Rhinolophus ferrumequinum: one gene and its partner. The protein of the gene in region 1 interacts with the protein of each later gene in a biochemical or structural test. Links are inferred from orthologs where the notes say so. Each region holds a gene or a part of one and is shown on either strand. Other genes may lie near its edges.

Region 1 (7,072 bases):
TTCACCAGCCTTTTCTCCATCTGCCATAAAACTCTCCAATTCCAGTCTGGGGGCTGGTGAGAACAGTCACTTGGAGAGCTAGTTAGAAAGGCAGATTCCCTGGGTCTCAAATTCAGATTCATGGGTCTGAGTAGGCACCCCCCACCCCACCACACACACACATGTTTTTAGAGAATAAAAGTCCTCAGGCAATTTGATATCAGCAGGTTCTTCTTTGACTCAGTTTAGGCCTCACCTCCTCCAGGAAGTCTTCCTTAACCTGCCATGCTGAGTCAGGATGCTCTTTCTTACAGGGCTGTGCTTTCCCCTTCGGAGCACCTTTTACATGCTAGTTTAACGTTTCTGTTTCCCTCACCAGACATGGCAGGGACCACACTGTAGTTAACTATTCTAGTCACTGTTTCCCAACTAAACCTTACATGTTCAAACTGCCCTTACACTTTTGCTAAGGGAAACAATTCCTCCATCCTGGGGTACCCTTCCTCTACCATCTTCAATCTGGAGAACTCCCAACTCATCCTTCAAGACACAGCTCAAATGGTTACTCCTTATGTGAGCCGACCCCACTGGGAGGCTGCACCCACCTTCCCTGGGCTCCCCAGTCGCAGCGCCAATTGCAACACCCTGCAAGGTCTGCCTTGCCTCTCCAGCCCCACGGGAGCCCTTCAAAGCAGGGACCAAGTCTTTTCATCTTTCTCTTTCCCCATGGCTCCCACTGTCCCTGCTGAGGAATGACTCCTACCCCTACCAGGCTGGCATTGGGGCACCAAAGCTACATCACCCCACAGATGCCCCTTCATGGGCCACATGACTCCTAATGTCCCCAAGGCCAACACTTCCAATTCTCCCCACCTCACCCCAGCCTGGTCAGTGGCCAGTCTGGTTCCCAGGCTGCTCAGAGTCACTGCCCAGCACAAAGGCTACTCCCAATCACCCTCATGCCCTTTGGAAGTCCTGGAATTCCAGGCCTGGACTCGGGCTCCCTCCGAACCTCTCTGCCATCCATCTCCATGGACCCGCCTTGACTACCTCTCCTACCCACGCAACCGCCTCCCTGGGCTCCCTGCCTCTTTGCTCACACCCTTCTCCACTCTGAGGTCTCCCTCAGACTCTTGTAACATTGTGAAGCAACTCTGCTGAGAGGGGCCTCTGCCCAACCAGCCTGAAACCTGATGTCTGAAGGCCTCCAACACAAACATACTGCACCCCTGCTCCCACCTCCTTCCAGACTACATACTGGCACTTGGCTTGGCGGTGGGGGTGGGCGCGGGGTGCAGTTAACCCTGGAGATCTTTTCTTCTGACTGGACCCTGTCTTCATCATAAGGAGGGGTGGTGGGTAGTAAGGGACAGCTGAGAACAGGCCAGTGTCTCCACCTTCAGACCAGGCACTCCTGGAGACTGAGCTCTCTCCTGCATCAGACTTAAGGCCCTGGACAGCTGGGCCATCTCACTTGGTCCTGTGCTGCCCTGGGCTCTGCCTGAGGAGGTGTCCTCCACTCACCTTTCAGCGTTGCCTTCTTTAGTACCTTCATGGCGTACAGGTGCCCACTGTCGGGCCGGGTAACTTTCCGCACCAGGAAGACCTGAGAAGGCAGCACGGGAAAAGCAGAGGAGAAGCTGCGGAGAGGACTGAGCCCATCAGCTCCCACCCTCCAGGTCCCAAGCTGCCCTCCAACTTCCCTGAGTCCCACCTTGACCTTTTGCCCTCCCTGGGTACCAAGGTGACCTCCTGTCCTGCCTTGAGCCCCATCAACCCTTGCCCTCTGGTACTTTGAGCCCCACAGTGAACTCTCACCCCACCTCTGGTATGACCACTGTTTCCCTCCCAACTGTGGGATCAGGACTTACTTTGCCAAAGGATCCCTGGCCCAGAACCTTGAGCAGCTCGAAATGGGATGGGTCAGCCTTCTCAGAGCCAGCCTTCACATGGTGCGTGATGGAGATCTCCTTGAGGACACCCTCATCCTGATGGAGGAACACAGCAGGTGGGCACGTGGGCCCCATCCAGGCCAGCATGGGGAATGTCCCCCATCCAAGTCCACTCACACCAGATCTCAGTAGACGGGGCCCTGCAGGCCCAACCAGACAGCTGCCCCGACAGGGCCAGCCTCCAGGTTCATCAATACCAAAGGGCCTCACAGGCCAGAGGGGGTCAAACTACTAAGGTGTCTCTGCTCCTATTGTTCCTGATGCTCCGGCCTGGTCACACCCAAAGGGATGCCCAGGCATGGCCAGGCTGGCCAAGCTGAGCCAACTGCAGGCTCTGGCTGAGGCCCACAGACCAGCCCCAGGTCCTCCCCTCCCCCTGCTGTCAAGTTTTGGTTTTGCCACAATAGGAAGTAGGGTTTATTCTCACACTGGGGAGGCAAAGCTGGGTTTTTGTTCCTGGACAGGATGGATGACGGGATCCTTTTGGCCAGAAGGACAGAGCTGAGATGCTTAGGGACCCAAGAGGCACCTGAGACTACCCCCAACCCAGTAAGTGCCAGTCTGGGGCAGGTAGGAGCTAAGGCCAGACTCCATGCCCCACCCTCTGAAAGTTCCTTCATACAAGTCTACTAAAAACCGCTCTTCAGGTCCCAGTTGTCCTAGGACCCCTCGCCCTCTGCCCTCCCTCCGGTCTACCGGTGTCACTCCCTGGACCCCTGAGTGCCTCCTCACTCCCCCAGGGAGCAGGTCTGGGTAGGGTCCAGTCGTCCAGCAGGGCCAGGCCTGGGCTAGGAGAGCCCAAAGACAGCTGAGGCCACACTGGCTGCCCAGGCACCTGCTCCAAGGGCCACAGGCAGGCCAGCTCATCCGGGCACACTCACCGAGTCCCGCCTGGGGCCAGAGCCAGGGCCAGGGGCAGGCAGAGCAGTCTGGCTGATCCTGGGCCGCTGCTTCCTGGGCAGCCAGGGGAGCAGGGCCCAGAGCCGCAGACGGGGCGGCTTGGGATCCTGCTCCATCCGCCCGGCAGGGCCAAGGCACCATGGCAGGAGCAGGCAGCGTCCGGGGCTGCCTCGGAGGTGGCCGGCCCGAGGCGGATGTGCAGAGTGAGGGCGGGGGCTGGGCCCGGGCCACCAATCACGCAGGGCCTGTGGTTTCCTCGCTCCAAGCCTACACCCTCACCACGTTCCTTTCCTCTCTCTTCCCCTGTCCCCATTGCCTGAAGGCTGCCCTCTGCATCCCCTGTGGGCCTGCAAAGGGAAAGCCCCATACCAACCCAGCTGCTGAGGAGCAGATAGGCACCCCACAGGCAGAGACCGGCTCCCAACAGATAAAGACAGATGAAGGTGGGCATCCAACAGGCAGAGGAAGGAGTGTACACATGCCCAACAGGCAGAGGTAGAAAGAACACATATCCAACAGGCGGAGACAGATGGGGACAGGTACCCACAAGCAGAGGCAGGAGGGGACTCATACCTGACAGGCAGAGGTGGACAGAGACTCATACCCAACCTGCTGAGGCAAACGGGAACACATATCCAACAGGCAAAGACAGATGGGGACATGTACCCGACAGTCAGAGACAGATGGGGACCCAACAGGCAGAGGCAGATGGGGGCTTGCATCCAACAGGTGGAGACAGATGGGGACACATACTCAATAGGCAGAGACATAAGGGGACACGAACCAACAGACACCTAACACGTGACATGTACCCAACAGGTGAAGACAGGCACTCATCAAGTACAGACAGACACAGGAGCCCAACAGAAGCCAGAGGCAGGTGGGCAGCAAACAGAGACTGCCAGTCAGTGAGGCCCAAGCAGACAGACACATAGGCAGGAAAGACACCTGGACACCCAAAAAGTCGGACCCCGAACTCAAAGGCAGAGCTGGTCTACCTGGGGGTGAGGAAAGAGGTGAGGGGATGTCGCCTGCAAACCCTCAGCACTTGGGAGAACAGTCCAGTATTTGTGGCAGACCCATCTCTGAGGTCTTCCATTTCTTTGGAATGTTCTTCCCATGCCAGGTCCTGAAGGGGGGCCCTGGACTACGAAAGTAGGCCAAGCGGGATATCTGAGTGCAATCTGATGGCTCTGACTCTCATCCAAATATCCCAAAAGCAGTTGTGCCCATTTCGGGAACAGGAAATTGAGGTCCAGAGCACAGTGACTCACCCAGGCTCAAAGTGCACTGGAGGCAGAGCCAGCTTGAACCCAAGTCCTTCCCCTGGCTATTGCTTGACCTGCGATTGGGAGGCCTCAAGTGCCAGGAAAGGGTGGGTAGGTAAGTCAGCCGGAGCCATGTCCAGCCCTTCCAGCCCGCCCCCTCCCTCGGTACTAGGGTCAGTCCGGGGACTTCTCATTCTAGATATCGACCCTCACAGACACAGACACATCCTCAGGGGACCCTGAACAGCCACAAAAAGCTGCAGCCACTAAAAGCTGCACGCTAATCAGGCTCCTGAGTGTAACCCCAGGGGGGACAGGCAGAAAGCCTGGCTCAGAGAGGGGCTGCGGTGGGCCAAGGCCACACAGCAACCCCCGTCCCCAAACCCTGCGGTCTGAGCCTCCACCTGTCTGTCTCTGGCTGAGAATACTCCCTGGAGACAGAGCCAGTCACCCGGAAACCCCAGGGGAAAGAGTCACCCCCAAACCTATTCCTTGCCCAGAGTCATGATGACAGACACCAGTGGAGGCAGGGAACCCTCTGCTCACCTTTCTGGGACAGGGGAGTGGATCTCTCCCCACCCAGGGGAGATCTGCCGGGCTCTGCATGGTGGGGCTCAAGCCAGTGGCCAGAGGGCCCCGTTAGTCCCTCACTTCTGCTTTTTCAGCCTTCCTGGCCCAGAAGGCAGGGTCCCTGACCCCCTCCTTCTCACTTCCCCCTCTGCAGAGAGGAGGGACAGAAGATGGGACAGGCTTCCCTGCTGAGGAGGGGACACGGTAGACCCCAAGGCCATGACTGCAGGGGGTGGGGCCAGGGATACACCCCTCCTCGTATCCTCTGATCCCGAGAAAGGGGAGACTAGAACACAGAGTCACGAGGTGATGAGGGGCTCACATAGTGGGCATCCAGCAGCTGCAAACATCCCCTTAAGAGAATGAGGGCAGAAGTCAGCAAGCCCATGGGCTCTGACTGCCCCGGCCCAGAGCACAGACTCTCCTTCCCCCCGCAGTGACCTCCCCATGGCTGGGCCCACCCAAAATGGCAGCCCACAGAACAGGCACCACCATAGCAGCCCTGCCCTGAAGAACCTGCCAGTCCAGCGCCCTGGGATGGGCAGAAAGCCCTAGCAAGGACCTACAGAGGTCTCAGTGGAGGAGCAGGTAGCCTGGGTCAGGGGTTGACCAGGCCCAGCCCCCTTCTACGTGGCCTCGCCGCGTCACTCACACCAGTACACCCACCGGAACTGATACGCACACAAATACACACAAGCCGATGATCGGAAACGATTTCCACAGACATCCCCTGTGTGGAAACACACGCCCCCACGTACACACGGACTTCCCCTTCCAGGCCTCGCAGGGCCTCTAGTAACAGTGTGATGCTGGTCTGCCAGGCTTGTGAAAGATGCCTGCTTAGACGGAGGCTTCTCATTGCACCCCCGCTGCTTCAGGCAGGGGTGTGGAGATGGGGACAGCCCTGGGAGCCCCAAAACTCTCTGGTCCTGTGCCACCGGGTCCCCCTCACCCTTGAGACCCTGAGAATCAAAGGAAGACTCTGTGGCTAACAGAGTACAGGAAGGAAACAGTCTCCGAACTGCCTTCACTGAAGGGTACGTGCAGGGCCTGGGGGGGCCTCTGGGTGGCAGGAGGGGAGGACAGGCACCAGACCACATCCCCTGGTCCCTGCCCCATTCCTCCCTAAAGATACTTCCTCTTATGTACTTCCTTCCACAAGGCAGCTGCAAGAGAAGCCCAGCGCCCCCTGACCTGATCCTGGGTCCCGAGGGCCCCCCTGGGCCTCCTTCCACTCGCTGCAGTGCAAGCCCACGTGCCAATCCCTGGCCCTAACGGACACCAACAGCTTCTTCCCCAGCTGACAGCATCTGCAGGGCCTATCAGGTGCTGCCCACTCTGGTGAGACAGATGTCCCCAGACGTATCTCCCAGCATGCCTCTGGGCCGGGCAAGAGGGGTCCACAGTTCCCAGACATCCTTGATGGGGAGCTGGCCTCAGGCCCTAGGTCAGGACTGGCATGGAGTGACACTGAGAATTGTACCTCCTACAGATTGAGCATTTATTGCACAAAGATGTTCTTTCCTTCAACCTTTGCTGATGTGGATTCTGGCAGGCCCTGTTTCTTAGCTCCAAGGGAGGTATTGTCATCCCATTTCAGAGATGAGGAAACTAGGCTCAGAGAGAAAGTGACTTGCCCAAGTCCACATGGCTAGAAAGCGGGAGAGCTAAGACCAAAATCAAAGTCTGTTTGCTTCCAAAGCCTACACTTCTAACCATTTCATTATTGCCCTCCCTGCAAGGCTGGCCAGCTGGCCTCCCCTTTGGACATCACTCGTAGCTACTGTTCCCGCGCTCTGTCCCCAGGCCAGGAGCCAGACACTGGGAGGCGCCCGTGTTAAGGCTAACGCCGGTGTTGACCTCAGGTAGATCCAGAAAATAAATACAGGAAAACAAAACACAATTGTCCAGGGAGAGCTGCCGTCAGGTGCTGTGGGTGCCCAGGGGCAGTAACCATCTGCCTGGGGTGAGGTCCAAGAACCTTCCAGAGAGGTGGCAGTACAACTGGAACTTAAAGAGGATAGGAGTTGGCCAGGCAGAAAGGCGAGAAAAGGCACTTCATGCAGAGACCAGCATGAACAAGAGGCTGAGGCCAGGAGTGCAGGGTGGGAAGTTAAGCACTGGCCACTCACTAGCTGAGTGTTTCCAGGCAAACTCTTTCTCTGTCTGAGCCTCACTTTCTTCCTCTTTAAAACAGAGGTTAAAATGAGATGTTCCACTCTCAACAAGGTTGTTTCTAGAAGCAAAATGGGCCACAGAGGCAAAGGGGCATTGTAAACAGAACATCCCCCCGGATGAGATGGCAGGTCTTACTGCTGTAGTGTCACCTCTGGGTAGGCAGAAGGATAGAGCCCTGCCACAGGGTCCCAGGTTCTGGGAGGGTGGGCGAGCCCGCGCTGGCCA
Region 2 (7,016 bases), on another chromosome or scaffold:
GTTCAATTCCTCGAGTTGCGCAAGGGATGGTGGGCTCCGCCCCCTGCAACTAAGATTGAACAAGGCACCTTGAGCTGAGCTGCCGCTGAGCTCCCGGATGGCTCAGTTGGTTGGAGTGCGTCCTCTCAACCACAAGGTTGCCGGTTCAACGCCCGCAAGGGATGGCGGGCTGCGCCCCCTGCAACTAGAAAACGGCAACTGGACCTGGAGCTGAGCTGCGCCCTCCACAACTAAGATTGAAAGGACAACAACTTGACTTGGAAAAACAGGCCTGGAAGTACACACTGTTCCCCCAATAAAGTCCTGTTCCCCTTCCCCAATAAAACCTTTAAAAAAACAAAACAAAAAAAGATTAATATATCACAGCCAGGTGGTGTTTATCCCAGAAATTCAAGACTGGTTAATTGAAAATCCACAGTATCAACAGACTAAAGAAGAAAAACCATGTGATCATCTCAATCAATCCAGAAAAAGAATTTGGAAAAATACAAACATCTAACAATAAAAAACAACCACCCACAATATGATAGAAGACCATCTATGAGAAAACTATGAATAATATAATATTTAATGGTGGAAAAACAAATGCTTTCCTCCTAAGATCGGAAACAAGACAGGGATGTTTGCTCTTACCTGTTCTATAAACATTACCCTGCAGGTTCTAGCTAGCACACTAAGACAAGAAAAAGAAATACATATGGGAAAGGAAGGAGTAAAATTGTCTTTATTCTCAGACATGATCATCTATATAAAAAGTCTGATGAAATCTACAAAATAAGTGGGTTTAGCAAAATTGCAGGATACAGGATCAACATACGAAAATAACCGTATTTCTGTCTTAGCAGTAAGCAATTAGAAATTGAAATTTTAAAAATACCCTTCAGCAATGAGTTGATATACTCTATACCTGACAACATAGATGAATCTGAGTAAAAGTCATACAAAAAAGAATACACAATCTATTATTTCATTTATATAAAATTCTAAAAAATGCAAACTATAGTAACAAGAAGCAGATCAGCTATCACCCAAGGACTACAACGGGGGGAGGGAATCCAGTGGGAGGAAAGAATTAGAACGGAGCAAAAGTAAGTTTTGAGGTAATAAATATATTCATTATCTTGATTGTGGTGATTGTTTCATGTGTGTATAAGGTCAAAATTTATCAAGTTGTATATTTTAAGTATGTGTAATTTATTGTATGTCAATTTTCTTATTTTAAAGGACATTTTTCACTTTTCTTTCAATTTTTAAAGCAGGCTTTGGGCAAGTTTTTTTTTGTCTGTTTTTTTGTTTTTAATCTTCCCTTTGGCATCTCACCTTTTTTGTATCTCACATTTGATCCTGGGAACTTTTACTTATTCAAGGGGGAAAAAAATAACACACACATCCAACTTCCCAAAATATTAGCCTTCAATCTAAAACTGGTTTTCTTTCACACATTTTCCTTTACAATTTATCTTGGCACCTTCCCTGTTATTCAGTTTGTCTCAGCTACAGGGGTGTTGATGGGAGAAAGTTGGTTTCTAGGGTAACCAAAGACAGGAAGGTATCAGCTTGGGAGGCTGGAGTGCATACCTGGGAGGTGATGGAGATGAAGCAAACCACCCCTCAGTGGGAGTGAAGGTGAGAAGCCCCTCTTCCACTAAATGCCTTGAGATCCTCAAGAGTGATGAGGGGGCAAATTTCTGGGGGTGATATTTCCAGGGATACTGAGAAAGAAGACGAAGAACCGAGAGCACTAGGTAAGACTTGCAGGTCACTGCAAGGTGGGAGAAAGAACTCTCTGGAGGGCTGAGGAGTAAACCACCGACTTCTACTTCCAGCCCCACCCTCCCGTTTCTCCTCAGTAAGCCCTGCCTGTCTGCTATCTTCCCCCTAATGCTTGGCATAGGGCCTGTAACACAGACGCAGTACGGTTGACAGTTAAGTAGACTCTGGACCCAGACTGCGTGGGTTCCCAGCTCTGTGACCCTAAGCAACTTATTTTACCTCTCTGGGCCTGTTTCCCATCTGAAAATGGGGATGATGATTACTTACTCAAAAGGTTGTGGAGACGATCTAAGTCAATACTTGCATTTTGTTTACTATTAGTTTGGTGCAAAAGTAATTGCAGTTTAAAAGGTTAAAAATAATTGCAAACACCGCAATTACTTTTGCACCAATCTAATAGTTGAACTTCAATTAAAAGCCTTAACACGGTGATGAATGGGATTGGAAAGTACCATAATTTAATAAATGCAATCAAGGACACACTTCTTCCTTTAGATCTACCTCTGACAAGTATCTTTTCGTTATGACAGCCATTAACTTCCACTAAACAGTATGATTTTTCACACGTACTTCATCTTTCTTTCCATCTTTTAATATTTCTACTCTTGGGCATGTTTTATAAGGTATGTAATAAAATACATGTAAATAACTGTTTAAAAAAACATTACATAGGTTAAGAAAGCATGACAAAAAAGGCGACTAGTAGTGGGCCTATGGCCACAGGAAGTGTCACATTTGGGAGCACGATTGTGCAGGTGGTATGGGAAGGGAATTAACAAGGTCGGGGGCAGTTGGGACTTCCTGTGTCTTTGGGAGTCCCGGCCACGGTGCGGTGGAGATGCAAGGAAGGCAGCGGGGCTTTCTTCTCAGGGCTAACCAGCACCTGGGATAGTTTAGGGGACGTTCCTGATCATTCTAAGTCCCGTCCGCCCCCACCCCCGCCCCGCCCCACGTGATGCTCCTTAGTCCCCTTGCCTCCTGCTGTCTGCAAACCCACTTCCAACACTGCAGGGGCCACTCGGCTCCCTCCTGCTGGCGTGTGCGTGTGGGTAAATACACACGATCTCACACTTCACCCATCCAAGGACAACAAGGTGGTGTGGACCGAGGACCGGCAGCCGCGCCACTGCCCGCAGGGCATTTTCCAGAAGCACCTCCCAGTCCTAGCGGCAGTTTCCTTTCTATATTATTTTTAACCAGAACGCTGGGGACCTTCTGACTAATGTCATGTTACTTGGAAAGATTTGGACACCGCGAGCCTACGAGAGGGGGTTATGAAAGCAGAACTGTCCTTGAAAGGCCTTTGCCATGGAGTCCCAACACTCACAGCCCGGGGGTTAAGATGCCGGAACCAACAGCGACGGGTGTCTCCGCGGTGTCGGTGGGTTAGAACTGGGGGGCCCAGAGATGGGGGGCGGGCGGTCAACAGGGTTCCTGACACCCGGGAAGGAGGCCGCGACAGATTTCTGAAAAATCGATGAGCAAAGAGGTGGAGGCAGCGTGAGCAGCGGCGTGGGTCGGCGCGGTGGCGCTGGTGCACGCACGGGGGACACCTGGCCCCGGGGGAGGGGGTGGCACCCGTCCGGTGGGGGGTGCACACAGGTCAGGTCTCGAGCGAGCGCAGGGCGGTTAAAGGGGAACAGCGGGCGGGGGCGGGGGCGGGGCCGGCGGGCCGCGCCGGGAAAAGCCGTGGATCCCGCTCAGCACCGGGCCGGCTAGGCCGCGCCGACGCGGGGTTGCGAGGCCGGGAGGGCGGTCCGCCCGCCGCCGGCCTGAGGGAGACGCCGCCCGCCGCTCCGTCCCCGCGGCCTGAGGAGAGGCCGCCCCGCCGCCCGGCCTGAGGGAAGGGCCGCCCCGCCGCTCCGTCCCCGCGGCCTGAGGGAGAAGCCGTCCCCACCGCCCGGCCGCCCCGCCTGAGAGAAAGGCCGTCCCCGCCGCCCCGTCGTCCCCGCCGCTGCGGCGCGAGGAGGAGGAGCCTGCGGCCCCGCCCCCGCGAGCGAGGGACGGAGACGGCTCGCGGGACGGCGGAGGGCGCGGAGGGGCGGCCGGCCGGGCCTGCGCCCGAGCGAGCGGCGAGCGAGGGGTGAGGGGCCCGGAAGGAGCCGCACGCCCGCCTTCCCGGCCTGCGCCCGAGCCCGGAGCCCCGCGGCCGCCCAGGCCGGAGCGCGGCGGTCGCGCCGAGGCGAGCGGGGCTGGAGCCGAGGTCGGCGGCGCCCCGCGCGGGTAGGCAGGGCGGACTGCGGCGGGGAGCCCGGCGGTCGGACTTGCCCGGAGGCGGGTGTGGAGGAGAATCCCAGCCGAACCGAACCCGCAGGACTCAGCCGGCTTGTGGATAAGGAGCGGCCGCCAGGCCGGGCGACCGGGCGACGGTGCGGCACGCGAGCCGGGAACCCGTTTCATGGGGGCGGAGGCGAGGCCGGCCCCGGAGCCTGGATGAGGACGAGCGGAGCAGAACCCACTCAGGAAACGGCCTCCCGAAGCAGGCCGAACCCGGGCTGGGCCTGAGCCCCGGGCGGGAAGGCGCAGAAACCGGCGCGCTTCCAGGAAAGGGAAGGGGACGAGGTTTCCAGAGGGTCTCTGCTTTGTGGTGATTGCTACCATTTTAAAGGTAGAAAGCTTTCATTTCAGGTGTTCTCTGATTTTTTTTTTGATTTTTTTTTTTTTTGGGTGCGATCGGCTCATTTCAGAATCTCAAAACCTTTCATGTAAAAGCTTTTTTGTTTTTTAAAGGAAATTCATAATTTTGGTTCCCAGGGTCGCACTGGACTTGGAAGGAATGCTGTTGTGTACATACTATTGTATGGTTTAATTTATTTTTTTTTACCGTGCAAATCAGCTGGAAGATTTTTTTTTTCAGGTGCCAATTCGGATTTATTCATCCTTTTTTTGTTGTTGTTCCCTCATATATATCTGTTGTCGTTTTAAGCATTGGAGACCAGAGAATTTCCCCCTTTGGAGCTTAAGGCTCTCTTGCCAACAGAAGGACAGCTGGGAAAACTGGATTAAAAGGATGGTTTTTATCTGTATTTTGCAGTAAGACTGATATTTTGAAGGCATATTCTTTCTGTGATTCATTTTTTTCAGCCCATAGCGCTAACCTTGAAGAGATTTGTGGTTGGGTTTTGGTTTCTAAGGTCATCGTTTTTCCTCTTTTTCTTTCGTTTTTCTTTTTCTTTTTAAGAGGGGGGAGGGGAAAGGGGGTCTAAGAAAGGAGACCATGTTAACTGGTAGAAGTAGAATGGAGCTTCAGTTACCAGGATCCTGAGAGCTGGAGGACAGAGGATTCAGTCTTCGAGTTGGGAAGCCCTCCTCTCACCTTTCTTAAAAATTGCGAGGATTCAATCCTGATCAAGACGTCAAAACTACAGGACTCTGGAACCGTGGAGACACCGAGAAACCATGAGTGTAAGGTTACCGCAGAGTATAGACAGGTAGGTTTGCTAATAATGGGTTTTTCAATACTTACTTAAGGACGCACTGGGAGGGAGAGTGTTTGTTGCATTTTGATCAAAGGTTGCAAAAGGAGGGTCTGGGTGGGCAGTGGGAGTTGGGGAGGTAGGAGCAGGCACTGGTCTGCGGGGACTGTCCGGCATGTGTGTTTATCTTCCCTGTGTGTGTCCATGTTCAAAACGTCTTCTGAGTCAGTGGTTTTTTTCTTCAATTGAAGCAATAGACAGTGAAGCGAGGAGGGGGGAAGTGCCTGCAGCCGGCTTTGACTTTTGCCAGGCTGGAGGCTAAATTTGAGTCCCTAACTTGCCAGCCTAGCGGGTGGGAGGTGGGCACAAGTCTGAGTCTGCAAGGGTGGGTTGGGATTGGCTGTAGGTGTTGGAGCTGCTGGGGGAAGGGCCCTGGCAGGGGCGTGGGCCTCCACCGGGCTGGTTGTTGTGGAATGGTGGGGTTTGGTGGTGGAGTGGATCCAGTGTCTGAAATGAGGACGATGGTCGTGGCCTGAATGATGGCACAGAAACACCCTTTGCACCCCTACAGGGCTGGATTTTTACCGGTGGCTAATAATAGCCCCAAAATGCACAGGTCACTTTAGAATTGTTTCCTCTCCAAGGTTAAATTTTAACTTGAGACCTGCCAACCGGCTAATGCTGTAGGTTTAATCTTCCAAGGCGTTTCTAATAAGCTTGACTCTGCAAAATGGACTTTCCCTCTGCCTTGAGCCGGAAGGAGTTGTTTGGGGCTCTTCGGCCTGATGGGCAGATGCACTGGCCCTTAGAGCCCCCCACCCCCCCAGAGTCTCTCCAGCCTTGTCACTGGTAACACAATGGTTCACAGCTTTGGTAAGGTATCTGCTTTTCCCTCCCTCCCCTCCTTGTCCGCCCACTTTCTCCGTAAGAATCGGGAGGGGGTCATTGGTGGGTACTGCACGCACATTCTGACTGGACAGGACTGAACAAGCAAATGAAAGGACTGGACCTGGAAATATAGTATTGGCGAGATAAGAAAGACTGTTTGCAAAGAAATAGTTGCTTTCTTTGTGTCCACCTAACCTTTGCTAATCCATGCTAAGAATAATTTCTTTTTGGCTCTGGAATGTGGCCTAAGGTGCATATAATTTCTCTCTCCCAAACAGTGACCTCTGTATGGCCTCCGAGCCCTACTTAGATGGGTCCAGCAGTCCCCACACAGGAACCTGACTTAGCAGTGGAGAGGGGAAGGCAAACAGCCACAGAGAACAGAAAGTGCGCGTGGCTGGTTCAAACCTCCATCCTTCCACTTCTTGTTGGCTTCTCTGTAGTTGGACTCTTGTAAAGGGAGAGCTGAGGCATGGCACGGCCCGGGCTGAAGACGGCTACATGGCTGCCCTCCCTGTCTTCCTCTTGGAGTTGGGGAATTAGTGCACTTGCCTTTTGGAGATTTGGATGGTGGACTATTTCTCTGAATTCAGGGATGTGAGAAGATAGAAACCTGGGTGTTTGGGGGTGCAAACGGGGCAGTGAGGGTTCCTTCGCTGATGGGACATGTTCCTCTGGGAGTTTGGATAGCCCCACTGTTCTCAGGATTTGTATAGCATGGTACGTTTCTCTAAGTGCTTTCATAGGAACATATCACATTCGAGCCTCGCAGTATTTCCATGAGGCAGACAAAGCAGAGGCTATTCTTCCCATTTTACAGAACGGGTATTGAGGCTCAGAGAGGACACCTGGCTTGTCTGGTGTCAGACTTGCAGGTCTTCTGAATCTGAACCCGTGGCGCTTTGTGGCCCACCTGTCTAAACAGGTGTGTATGCTGGT

Evidence for each region.
Region 2: the proteins of RPS6KA1 (region 1) and ARHGEF11 interact in a test that uses a peptide from one of them, tested with the Homo sapiens proteins (2 studies listed by BioGRID and IntAct). The link is inferred for Rhinolophus ferrumequinum from reciprocal best matches to the Homo sapiens genes RPS6KA1 and ARHGEF11.

Annotation. Positions count from the first base shown.
Region 1 is NC_046292.1:18,178,782-18,185,853, reverse strand, and holds the start of RPS6KA1 (ribosomal protein S6 kinase alpha-1), read right to left. Parts: upstream 3,015-7,072; 5' UTR 2,948-3,014; coding exon 2,813-2,947; intron 1,968-2,812; coding exon 1,851-1,967; intron 1,586-1,850; coding exon 1,504-1,585; intron 1-1,503. UniProt on the Homo sapiens protein: Serine/threonine-protein kinase that acts downstream of ERK (MAPK1/ERK2 and MAPK3/ERK1) signaling and mediates mitogenic and stress-induced activation of the transcription factors CREB1, ETV1/ER81 and NR4A1/NUR77, regulates translation through RPS6 and EIF4B phosphorylation, and mediates cellular proliferation, survival, and differentiation by modulating mTOR signaling and repressing pro-apoptotic function of BAD and DAPK1.
Region 2 is NC_046305.1:1,327,116-1,334,131, reverse strand, and holds the start of ARHGEF11 (rho guanine nucleotide exchange factor 11), read left to right. Parts: upstream 1-3,948; 5' UTR 3,949-5,172; coding exon 5,173-5,204; intron 5,205-7,016. UniProt on the Homo sapiens protein: May play a role in the regulation of RhoA GTPase by guanine nucleotide-binding alpha-12 (GNA12) and alpha-13 (GNA13). Acts as guanine nucleotide exchange factor (GEF) for RhoA GTPase and may act as GTPase-activating protein (GAP) for GNA12 and GNA13.